3 linked regions of the Elephas maximus indicus genome follow. The protein of the gene in region 2 purifies or fractionates together with the protein of the main gene of each other region. This does not show direct contact. Links are inferred from orthologs where the notes say so. Each region holds a gene or a part of one and is shown on either strand. Other genes may lie near its edges. The genes, in order: DDX5, CDK9 and DDX21.

Evidence for each region.
Region 1: the proteins of CDK9 (region 2) and DDX5 purify together in Homo sapiens (affinity purification with western blotting; 3 studies listed by BioGRID, with this or other methods). This does not show direct contact. The link is inferred for Elephas maximus indicus from reciprocal best matches to the Homo sapiens genes CDK9 and DDX5.
Region 3: the proteins of CDK9 (region 2) and DDX21 purify together in Homo sapiens (affinity purification with mass spectrometry; 3 studies listed by BioGRID and IntAct, with this or other methods). This does not show direct contact. The link is inferred for Elephas maximus indicus from reciprocal best matches to the Homo sapiens genes CDK9 and DDX21.

Annotation. Positions count from the first base shown.
Region 1 is NC_064837.1:55,714,326-55,718,069, reverse strand, and holds the start of DDX5 (probable ATP-dependent RNA helicase DDX5), read left to right. Parts: upstream 1-1,174; 5' UTR 1,175-1,359; coding exon 1,360-1,403; intron 1,404-2,620; coding exon 2,621-2,786; intron 2,787-3,148; coding exon 3,149-3,245; intron 3,246-3,330; coding exon 3,331-3,464; intron 3,465-3,595; coding exon 3,596-3,661; intron 3,662-3,744. Other genes in the region: CEP95 (centrosomal protein of 95 kDa), read right to left, coding at 325-343. UniProt on the Homo sapiens protein: Involved in the alternative regulation of pre-mRNA splicing; its RNA helicase activity is necessary for increasing tau exon 10 inclusion and occurs in a RBM4-dependent manner. Binds to the tau pre-mRNA in the stem-loop region downstream of exon 10.
Region 2 is NC_064827.1:78,876,709-78,880,452, reverse strand, and holds the start of CDK9 (cyclin-dependent kinase 9), read right to left. Parts: upstream 2,463-3,744; 5' UTR 2,242-2,462; coding exon 2,150-2,241; intron 1,687-2,149; coding exon 1,605-1,686; intron 861-1,604; coding exon 770-860; intron 414-769; coding exon 247-413; intron 134-246; coding exon 1-133. UniProt on the Homo sapiens protein: Protein kinase involved in the regulation of transcription.
Region 3 is NC_064834.1:18,985,498-18,989,241, reverse strand, and holds the start of DDX21 (nucleolar RNA helicase 2), read left to right. Parts: upstream 1-1,031; 5' UTR 1,032-1,114; coding exon 1,115-1,201; intron 1,202-3,227; coding exon 3,228-3,677; intron 3,678-3,744.

The sequences.
Region 1 (3,744 bases), on a different chromosome or scaffold from region 2:
ACAGCCAGATACTCCAGAGAAGTCGGGAGACGATCTTTTCTGACTGCTGTTTTTGCGATCTGCATGCGGGTGTGTTGGCGGCTTCGTCAAAGAGCCCTCTCTCCCCCACCCCAAATCGCTGTTCCACCGTCACGAAGCAGAGAGCGGTGCTGGGACTCTTATCTCTGGCACCCGCAGACTGCGACGGGATATGTGACAATCATGAATCTCGCAGGCAGCCTAGACTTAGGTTCGGCCCGGCCCGAGGCCTCAAAGTGGCCTGGGGCGTTCGGGGAGTCGGACCGCTTCACTCCACACACAGCACGGCGCCAGGGCGAGACTCACCAGGCTCTGAGCCGGCCATGTCGCGGAAGCAGGTCGTCGCCGGGCTCCCAGCCGGGCGCGTGGGAGACGGTGTCCTGGAAGGGCCGCACAGCACAGACACACAAAAACGAGAGGGAAGTGTGGATAAAGAGGTGTAAAAGAGGGAGGGACGTTAAAACGGCTTCTCGCTGCTGATTGGTCATTGGAGGAGCACTCGCTTTCACCGCACGTGCCTCGGCGGCGGTTTGCGGGATCTAGATAACATTCTCCGCGGGCAAGAGCCTGCCAAGAGGTTCTTAAGTCGGTGAGTTTGACAGGTTAGGTCACCCACCCGCCTTGACCGGTCACCGGGGGAATTACAACGACACTTCCGGTGAGTTATTTGATTGTGTATTCCTCCGCTGACTGGGAAGTAGTGCGGCAATTCACCCGGTGGGCGGGGAAGCCAGTCACGTGATAAGATCAAGCCCCGCCTTCCCTTGTTTGGTTTTGGGCGTGAGGGCTGTTTGGAGACGTAAACATTTCCAGGTGGGGAGAGTAGGTTGTCCTGTAGTGGACGCTTGATTTTCTGGGTTGGACCTGGAAAAGGTTGAGGTGGATTGCTTAAGGTGTGTAAAGAGGAGAAAAAGGCGAAGTTTTAAGGAAATACAGGATGGGGCATTTCAGTGGCGGACGGGTCCAAATATGAAAGGGGAGAAAAACGTATGGCCCCAATGGATGGACTCGGAGGGGGAGGGGTGAGAACATGGCGGATTCCGGAACGCAGGCGGGCGTTGCGGCCTCTGCGCAGGGGGCGGGGCGATTAGGTCATAGAGCGGTTCCCAGCATCCTTTGCGGTGGAGGAGGCGGTCCAGACTATAAAACCGGCTGCCGGGAGGCGGCCGGCACCTCATTCATTTCCATCGGCCTTTCGTTATTCAGCTCTAGGTCTTGCTGTCGCCGTCTCTCCGCCGCTGACGCCCACGCAAGGGTTCGCCGTCGCCGAAGCCACCCCTAAGAGACTCTCCGCACCGGCTTTTTTCGCTTCGTTCCCCACCAACCGCAACCATTGACGCCATGTCAGGTTATTCGAGTGACCGAGACCGCGGCCGGGACCGAGGGTGAGTATGGGAACCGACCTGTCAGGCCCGACGAGTGGGGGATGGGCGGGAAGTGGGTGGCGGGGGCGCCGCCATCGGCACATCGGCTTTTTCGGCCTACGCCGAGGTCTTCTTAGTTAAGGGTTTGCGCCGTTGTGGTAGTTTTCTAAAACCGGTTAGGGAGGACTTGCTTATTAACGGCCTTCAAGCTGCCTTTTTTTTCTCCCCCGCCCCTGGAGCGGGGGCGGCGCGCCCTCGGCGATTTTGCAGTTGGGAGAATTCGGAGGCGTGTATCGCGAGGGGGAGGAAAACGGGATGCCTCGGGGTGGATCAAGTAGCCTCGGTTAGATGCACCCTTCCGGGAGGTGTTTTAGGGGTTCAGGGAATTCTGTGGAAGCGAGGGGCCCGCTTCCGCAGCCATTGAGGCGGTGAAGGCAGGAGGGTGGCTGGCGCCGCCGGATTCGCCCATGTGGCTGCGCCGCGGGTACAAAATGCCGGCCTCCGACATGGCGGCGGCGCCTTTGTTACCCCGCCCGGCGGAGGAGCTCAAAATGGCAGCGTCGAGAAAATGTGGCGCAGAGAGAAATGCGAGACAAAGGGGAAAGCGCCGCCCCAGCGGGAACGCCGCCCGACCGACTCCGCCCGGGCGGGACTCCTCCCCCGGTAGTCGCCGGCTCCTCCTCCTTTTTTTCCTTGTGTTATATAATTTACCTACCTTGATGGGGAGCTTTCCCAAGGGACACCCCCAACCCCCAACTCGATTCCCTTGCATAAGGGTCCCCGAGGCACCGTCCCCGTTGTTTTCTTTTTATTATGTCTCTGTGTTATCGATTGTTAAAACCAAAGTTAAAAAATAGGGGTATAAATAACATTTGTCTTGGGCTTGTCCTTTTTTGTATCATTTCGTTTCCTGGATGTTTAATTTCTAAACTGGTGGGAACCACCATAGTTACAAGCTATTGTCTATCCATCTAATCGGAACTTCCAGCATTTTGGTAGCCAGTTTCTGACATAATAAGTTGGGGGCTGTTTAGTGTTCTTAATTATGTGTATTTGAGATGATAGCAACTGAGATACACAATGGTAACCCTGATTGTTGAATGACAGCTAAGTGTAGTTTTAGGCTTTGTGTTCCTTAAGTCTGATTTGAGTGAGCTTTAGCAGGTGCTAAGAGATGGTAAATAAGTCTTTCAGCCCATAGGTAGAGATTGGAAGTCTGAATTATTCTGTAATTTCAGGTTTGGGGCACCTCGATTTGGAGGAAGCAGGGCAGGGCCCCTGTCTGGAAAGAAGTTTGGAAATCCTGGGGAGAAGCTAGTTAAAAAGAAGTGGAATCTTGACGAACTGCCCAAATTTGAGAAGAATTTTTACCAAGAACACCCTGATTTGGCTAGGCGCACAGCGGTGAGTAATTTCATATGGCTTCATCAGGCTATGGAACCCAGTAACGGCTTCTGGTAATAAGAAGCTGAGTGCAAGTGTCTTGCAAATGACTAGATTTGGGGAGATTCATACCTTCCAAGTTGATAATAGGGGAAAGCTGTGTGATTCACTTTTGGAAACAGGTGGCTTTGAATTTTCCTTGGAACAGTTATCTTAGGATAATAGGTGGTTTTTACGTGTTTTAAATACGGTTTTTGTACATGAATCTAGATTTTAAAATCACTCACTTTAAAGTAGCAAATCGTAAGTTTAGGGGCTTTCTAGTTGCATATTTAGTTAGGGTGGGTTGTTAGGAGACTTACGAGATTAATGTTGTTTTGCAGCAAGATGTGGAGACATACAGAAGAAGTAAGGAAATTACAGTTAGAGGCCACAACTGCCCGAAGCCAGTTTTGAATTTTTATGAGGCAAACTTTCCTGGTAAGTGTTTGTTCTGAATTTCACATTTACTATTTCTTTGTCTTGGCATTACTGAGTTTTGTTAAATTGCTGTCGCTATTTACAGCAAATGTTATGGATGTGATTGCAAGACAGAACTTTACTGAACCTACTGCTATTCAAGCTCAGGGATGGCCAGTTGCTTTAAGTGGATTGGATATGGTTGGAGTAGCACAGACTGGATCCGGGAAAACGTTGTCTGTAAGTTTTGAGAGAGCACTTTTGCATACCCTGTGGTATGTGCTAGAGAAAATGGCTTTGGAATTAAAAGACCCTGGGAGTATTTTAACAAAACTTCTGTTTTTTCCTCTGTTTTTCCCCACCCACAACAGTACTTGCTGCCTGCCATCGTCCACATCAATCATCAGCCGTTCCTAGAAAGAGGTGATGGGCCTATTGTAAGTATGTACTTCATGAAGTTCCATAGTAAGGAGGATATAGAAATTTGTAGAATATAGAGAAAAACAAGATAATTGGTGGT
Region 2 (3,744 bases):
CACGGTTGGTGTAGCGGTTGGGCTGGCTGTTCTTGGCCAGGCTGAAGGCCCGGGCCAGCCCAAAATCTGCCAGCTTCAGGACCCCATCACGGGTGATGAGCACATTAGCTGCTTTCATGTCCCTGTGCAGGATCTGCAGGAAAGACAGGAGTGCAGGCTCAGCCAGGCTCCCCTGGATCCTCTGGCCACAACCATCCCACAGTGGGAGCAAAGGCCTTAGTCTCTCTCTCCTCCGCCGGCCCCTACCTTGTTTCTGTGGATGTAGTACAGGCCATTGAGCAGCATCTGCATGACCTTCTTGATCTCAGACAGTGTGAACTTGACTAAGACATTACTCAGCAGCCCAGCAAGGTCATGCTCGCAGAAGTCAAACACAAGGTATATACTGCCCTTGCAACGGTTATAGGGAGATGCTGAGATGGAAAGAATTGGGGTGAAGGACAGGAAGAAGAGTCAAAAATCCCATATGCAACCCATTTCCCCATAACCAGCTCCTACTCCCTCTAATCCATGGACCACCCATGTCCTCCAGAGCATCCATTTATTCATTCCTTCGCTGGCAAAATATATGTTGAGTGCTTCCCTGGGCCAGGTGGTGTGGTAGGCCCTGGGGAAGAACCAGCTACGACGAGAGAGAACCAAAGAAAGCAATCACCACTGCCTAAGAAGAAGCATTTTAAGGCCCTCCAGTTCTAACTTTACAAACAAAACCTTAGGCTATAAGCCCCACTTTCTCCATCTAAAAACGAAGGATGAGATCCAAACATACCTTTGGTTCGACAGATCTCAATCAAGTTGACCACATTCTCATGTTTCAGAAGTTGGAGAATCTTGATTTCCCGTAGGGCTGTGATGGGAAACTGGGGGGAAAAAAGACGATAAGAGGTCAAAAGTGAGTCAGAGAGCTGCGGGCCAAGGAACTGGTCCTGGGGTCTCTACTAAGGCATACAGATTGAAAGACAGAGTTAAGAACATGGGCTCTGATATAAGCTCACTCAGATCCCTTATCTGTAAAAGGGGTATGATAATAGCATGCACACCTCAAAGAGCTGGTTTGAGACAATGAACTTAATACCCTTATTTTACACAAATTCTTTACTATTCATCACTATATACGCTATTGTCTCCTGCTATTTTCATGTGTTAGCTCTATGCCTGTGTTTAACTTGCTCTGTGGTCACAAAAATAACCTTAAAACATCTTTGATGAGAACTTGGTTTCTGGGGAGTGGGATGAGAGCTAAGATTGGGTGGGATGCTCCTTTCCAACACACTTCTTTGAATATTACTCACTTTTTAAAGCCATATGCATACATTTTTTACATTAAACAAAATCATATACTAAAGAAAACAATTTTTAAAGCTTCTAAACTCTGAACCAAAGTGCATGCAGTGCAAGCATGAGCTCCCCCTCCTGGACTCAGCCCTACTTAAACAAATGTTTAAGATATTTTAATTAAAAGACTTAATTTCGAGGCCAAATTCCCTGAAATGTGCCAATTTCCGAAACTACTAACAAAAATTCAACCTCAGCAGGAGACTCCTGGAAAAAGCAGGCTGGAAACCCAAACCCGCTGCTCTGTGATGCTGGCGGGCCGCACTTACCCCCTCCTTCTCGTTCTCCATCAGCACCTTCTTCAGGGCCACCTTCTGGCCGGTCTTGCGATGCTTGGCCTTAAACACCTCCCTGCAGGCCGAGAGGGGACACTGAGGGCTGATGAGGCAGTTTCCGCAGGGCTCGCCCCTCCCCCACGAGAGGAAGTGTGGCAGGGACAGGGAGACTCCCGGGCGGGGCTCGGCCGGGCACCCGGCACTCGGCCACCTCACCGGCCTGGGTCTCCGGCCCCTTGCCGGGCCTCCGCTTCCCTCCCTCAGTCCCCCCTCTTTACCCAAGCGCCTTCCGGAGGTCCCGCTTTCCTCCCCAGTTCCTCTCTGCAACCCCTCGCCGTCCCACACCCCAGGCCTCAGGCTCCTCCCCGCCAGCCGGCCCCGTCAGGCCCCGGCGGGATGCGGCCCGGCCTTGCGAGACCAGGGGGCATGCCCGGGACTCAGCGGCTTCCCAGCCAACTCAGGCCCAGCTCCCGACGCTCCCACGTCGGCCCTGGGGAGTGCTGGCCCCGGGGCCCCAGTCCCTCGGGGCCCAGTCTTACCCAAAGGTGCCTTGGCCGATTTTGGCGAGCTTCTCATATTTGGACACCTCATCACAAAAGGGGCACTCCACTGAGTCGTACTGCTTTGCCATGGCCGCCTCCAGCGCGCCGCCACCACCTCCAGCCACCGCCGCCGCTCCCACTCCTGGACCTGCTGCTGTGCTCCAGGCCCCTCCGCGGCCGCGCCACTTCCGCCTCCACGGCCACTTCCGGCCTCGCGGCACAGACCCCGCCTCTTCCGCCCGCCGCCCGCCGCCGGGCCCCCTGGGACTTGTAGTTCCCGGGAGGCTAGAGGGAGCTGGAGCTGCAGAGGCGCCGCCGCCGCCGCCGCCGCCGCTGCCCCCGCCGCCGCCGCCGCCGCCGCCGCCACTGCCGGCAACGGCCCCGATCGGGGGCGCGGGGAGCCGGGGCGCCGAAGCTGGGGCTCTGAGCGGTGCGTCCCGCTGCATTGGCCCGGGCCGCTGCTGCTGCCGAAGCTGCTTGCCGCTCTGGCGCCCGATCCGGGGCCAGCCGCAGTGCCCTGCTCCTCCTCCTCCGACGGCACCGCCTCCGCCGGGCTGCGCGGGGCGGCGAGCGGAGGGGCGGTCCCCGAGCCGCGGCCTGGGGGATCCCTGGCCGGGCCCCGGCTCGGGGCGTCCGGGTTAGGGGGCGAGGCAGAAAGAGCCGACGAGGAGGCGGCCCGAGAGCCCCGAAGGGGGCGCGTTATAAAGGGGGAGGTGCCCTGGCCTCGCCCTCCCTTCTCCCTCTACCCGCCCCCTCCCTCCCACCCTCCGCGGCCGCACCTGCCGCCGCCGCCGCTGTCGCCGCCCGCCCGCCCGCCCGCCCGCTGTCCGCCGGCCGCCCTCGGCGCGTCACCGCCTGCGGCCCCTCCCCCGCTTTCGGAGGTGGGGCTCCGCGCCCGACACCTGGCTGCGAGGCGGCCCACCGCGTGCCTCAGTTTACCACCCCGGCAGGCTGTGACGGGGAGCCCCTTCTTTCACGGCTCGGAGTTACCCGCCAGAGGCGAAGGCGGGAGGCGCCAAGGGAGCGGCCTCCGGCCCTGGGAGGAGTGAACGGCCCCCGCCACCGCCCCCCCGGCCCCCGCCACCCGTCGTTGACATGGCAACCGACGGCCGCCAGGGGGCGCGGCGACACTGGAGGCGGCGAGCTAGCAACGCCCCGGCCTCGGGCCCTGTACCCCTGGTTCTCTGGGAGGCAGGAATAAGAATCACAGCGCCCCCACCCCATCCGTGCTGCGCCAGAGCCGGTTGGGCCCATGAAAATAGCTAACATTTACTGAGGACCCCCGTGTGCTCAAGAAGTGCTGGGCGCTCACGCTGAATCCTGGCAACAACCCCCGCAGTCAGGATCACTAACCCATTTTACAGAGAAGGACTCTGAGGCTCAGAGAGATGAGGTCATTTGCCCAAGGTCACACAGTGGCAAAGCTGGAACTTGGTCTCTCTGAACCTGCACGAGGATTCTTTTGACTCTGGCTATTTACAGTATGCTCAGGAGGATAGCAGTGGTGCTACCTGAGGTATGCTGTCCTCCTGCCAGGCACTAAGCTTCCCACTCACCACCGTCCCCCTCCTGACCATACACTTCCCCACATC
Region 3 (3,744 bases), on a different chromosome or scaffold from region 2:
CTGTTTTAATAGCTCTTATTTACTGTGCACTACTAAACCCATTTATTTAATTTTCTCAACAGATCAGGTAGGTTTTGTTATCTGTTCCATGCATGAGAAACTCAGGTTCAAACTAAGTAAGGTGTCAAAAATCCCAGACAAATAGTGGCAAAGGTAGGTTTCAATGCCAGATATGATGAATTGTCTCCCAATACTCTGGGTCACTAGTTCTTCAGAAAATTTAAAACAGTCACAGATCACTCAATGGGTCACTTTTCCTCAACTGCTTGCATATGTATATTGTTTGATACGCAAGACTGGGGACCCCTGTTATTTTCTAATTGAGGGCTACCGCGGTCAGCAAAGGCGCTCCTTGGAAACTCTATGGTGCAGTTCTCCTCTGACCTATAGGGTGGCTATGAGTTGGAATCGACTCGATGGCAATGGCTTTTTTTTTTTTTTTTTTTCCCGGTGGTTTGGGTGCCTTCTACTGGTCCCAAAGCTTGTGCCTTCAGAACAATGAACCCTTGTCTATCTCCTCCACCAGTCTATAAAGCTGCGCGGACAAGGCTTGTGTATTAACTGCTTCTGAATCCTAGCCCTTCTCTGCACACCTGACAGTGAATGCTCAGGGGATGTTTGTTAAGTGAACTGAACGTATGAATAAATTCTGGCGCTTACCTAGGCTCGTTAAGTGGCGGCGTCACCATTCGGAGTCTTCAGAGATGATCAGTCGCGCGCGTTTGTATGTGAAAGGGCTTTACAAATTTCTGCGATCTTAGTATACAGAAGAGCACTGAAAAGTCTCCATCTATCAGGCTGGGGTTGGCGAGAACAGTGTTTGAAAGAAAATACAAAGCTAACCTTTGTGGTCCTTCCCAGCTCTACCCTTTTGTAGGTGCCCCTCGTCCAGCCGCATTACGTGGTCAACTCCCTAAGTAACCCCAGGTAATGTCTGCGGCTGGTGACATAAAACTACCACGTGGTCCGCTCAGCCTCGCTGTGCGACCAGTTTCCGCCCAAAATGCTTTGCTACCGGAAGTGACGCAAGCTGGGTGGACTAAAGAGGTACTTCTGTCTCTTCCTCTCCACGCGGCTGACGAGCCCGGTTGGGTTATCGAGGTTGTCCTGAGTGATGCCGGGAAAACTCCTTAGTGACGCCGCTTTGGAATCAGACACGACCATGGGAAAGCTGGAGATACCGCCAAAGCAAAATGAGAAGGTGCCGCGGGGGGTTGAGGGACTCAGAGCAAGACAGGGCGAGGGGCTGGGCGCTGAGGACGGTGGGGCCCTGGAATCCGGGGAGGTGGCCGGGCTGGGCGGCGAGGACCTGGCGCGTCCGGAGTCGGGGCAGCCATCTCGGCAAGGGAGCCCCTAGGGAAGGTGTTGCCCGCCCGATGGAGCCGTCTCCGCCGCGCACCGAACTCTCCCTTTCAGCTCGGACGCATCCACCAGTCCTGGGGAGTTTTGGCAGCCAGGCCCGGGCAGATCGCAGCTGGAAAGCGGCCTGGGTGTCGCACGTGGTCCCCGGAGTCTGGGCTCCCGCATCTGATGGCGCGGAGTCGGAAGTTCACCGCCAGGACCCCGTTGGTTCAGACTTAATTCGGGTGTTAGCGTGCTCGAAGGCGAATTGTAAATTAAGTCCAGGCAGTAGGGACTGACCTGTGAGATCTTAAACCTATCTACCACGTGGGGAGGGATCTTTAGAGGACCGGCAAATGCTGGCAGCGTTAGCAGTGAAATTTTTTTTGCCGTAGTTAAGGGAAGTAGTTTGTTTTCTGAGAAGCAGCCCTTTGAAGACCAGGCATTTTAATTACTCCTAATATTTATTGATCAGATTTTCCGTGGAAATGTAAAGAGCCGTGCTGTGGTGCTAACTGTACACCATTTTTTAATATAGGCCAGCAGTGCAATAGTGTTTAGTTATCTTGACAGCGTCTGCTTTTTTGGTGTCGATTTCTACACAGTGATTTAATTTGTGCCTGAGTTTCTGTTCTGAGATAAGGTCAGTGGGAATGCAGATTGGCCCTGAACTTATTTTGTACATGACTTAGAGTACCTTTTCCCAGTTGTTTCTGAGTCTTTTTGATGGGGAGCTCTTACAGAATCAGCATTTTGGCATTGTGGGAAGACAAGGGAGCACAAACTTTTCTTCACAGTGGGGAGTTAGTGGTCCTGGTTTGCTTACTCTGCCTCAGTCAGTGTGTTCAGTGTGGGATGCTCAAATTAGGAGGGCACGACCAAACTCCATTATGTTCCAAAAGAGGCTCGTTGAGATGGGAAACCCACTCTTTTGGTGAGAAGAAGGGATGAAAGGACTGGAGAAAAGAAGCCTTTAGAGACCAGATTCCCACCCCCTAGTACCATCTTGTGAGAGAGAGGTTACCCCTAATCCGTGATTCTAGAACAGGGGCCAGGCCTGGAACCCATACCTGGAGTTTAAGGGAGGAAGATATCAACTCAGTATAATAGTGCTGAGGCTGTGCCAGGCTACAACACCTGTCAAAGTCTGACTGTAATAAGTTTTCAATAATGTGAAAGGTTAGGGTCAAATTTCAGTTAGCCATATCTACCTGTCTAGTTTGGTTTTAGGGTTTCATCCCTTCCACTTATTTGTAACATGTGCTGTTTTCGTATGTTTTGTTTTACTTTAATTTAGGCACATCATTTTTATGCATGGGGTGATAAGTTGTGGGGTTTTACAGCCTTTTGGTTCATAAAGTATCTTTATGTAAGTTCATTTGCACTTGAAATAGATAGGCAAGGCAGATATTATTAATCCCTGTTTACCTGTAGAGGAATTCTAGTAGGTACAAAGAAAAGAAATCTGCTTAACATCCATCTATAGGCATTTTAGGACCCTGTTATTCTGTCAGTGTTACATTTGAATGTACTCGATTGCTTTAGTTTAGAGCTGTTAGAGCATCCCAAATCTCTTACGAACATTTGATTTATAGACTTGTACGACCAGCATGAATTGAATAGTTACTAAGAGCCACTCTTGATTTTCCAAGCTAATGAAACTACGGATGTATACTTAGCTTCATATAGCTAAGAAGTGGTGCTAAAAAAAAATACTAAGTTTGATCTTTGCCTTATTGTAAGATGAAAAGTACAAACACTGAAATGCCAAAAAGAAACTTTCATTCTTCATAATTATCAGTAATCTTAAAGTCATCCAGAAGTGATGTATTATGCAGATGTATAGGAGCTTCGTTCAATGTTCAAATTTCTGTTAATTTTTTTAGAAAGCTAAGAAAGAGAAGCCAAAATCTAATAAGACTGAAGAGTCAGCAGACGAAAAGGAGGAAACTAGTTCCCCCAAAGCTAAAAAAATGAAAAAGAAAGCAGAGCCTTCTGAAGTTGAAATTAATTCTCCCAAATCCAAAAAGGTAAAAAAGAAAGAAGAGCAATCTCAAGATGACGCTATGTCTCCTAAAACCAAAAATGTAAAAAAGAAAAAGGAACCTGTTGAAAATCAAGTTGGGTCTCCTAAAATCAAAAAAGCGATAAAAAATGAGGAGCCTTCTGAAAAAGAAATGGGTGCTCCTAAGCCTAAGAAGATAAAGAAAGAAAAGGAAATGAATGGAGAAATTGGAGAGAAAAAGCCCAAACTGAAGAATGGACTTCCTCATTCTGGACCTGCCTCTAACTCCAGTGAAGCCACAAGTGAAGAGAGTAATAGTGAACTAGAACAGGTAAGTTTGTATTTTAATAGATAGGGTGTATTTTTCCTTCTTGTTTCAGATTAAAAGGTAGGTAATT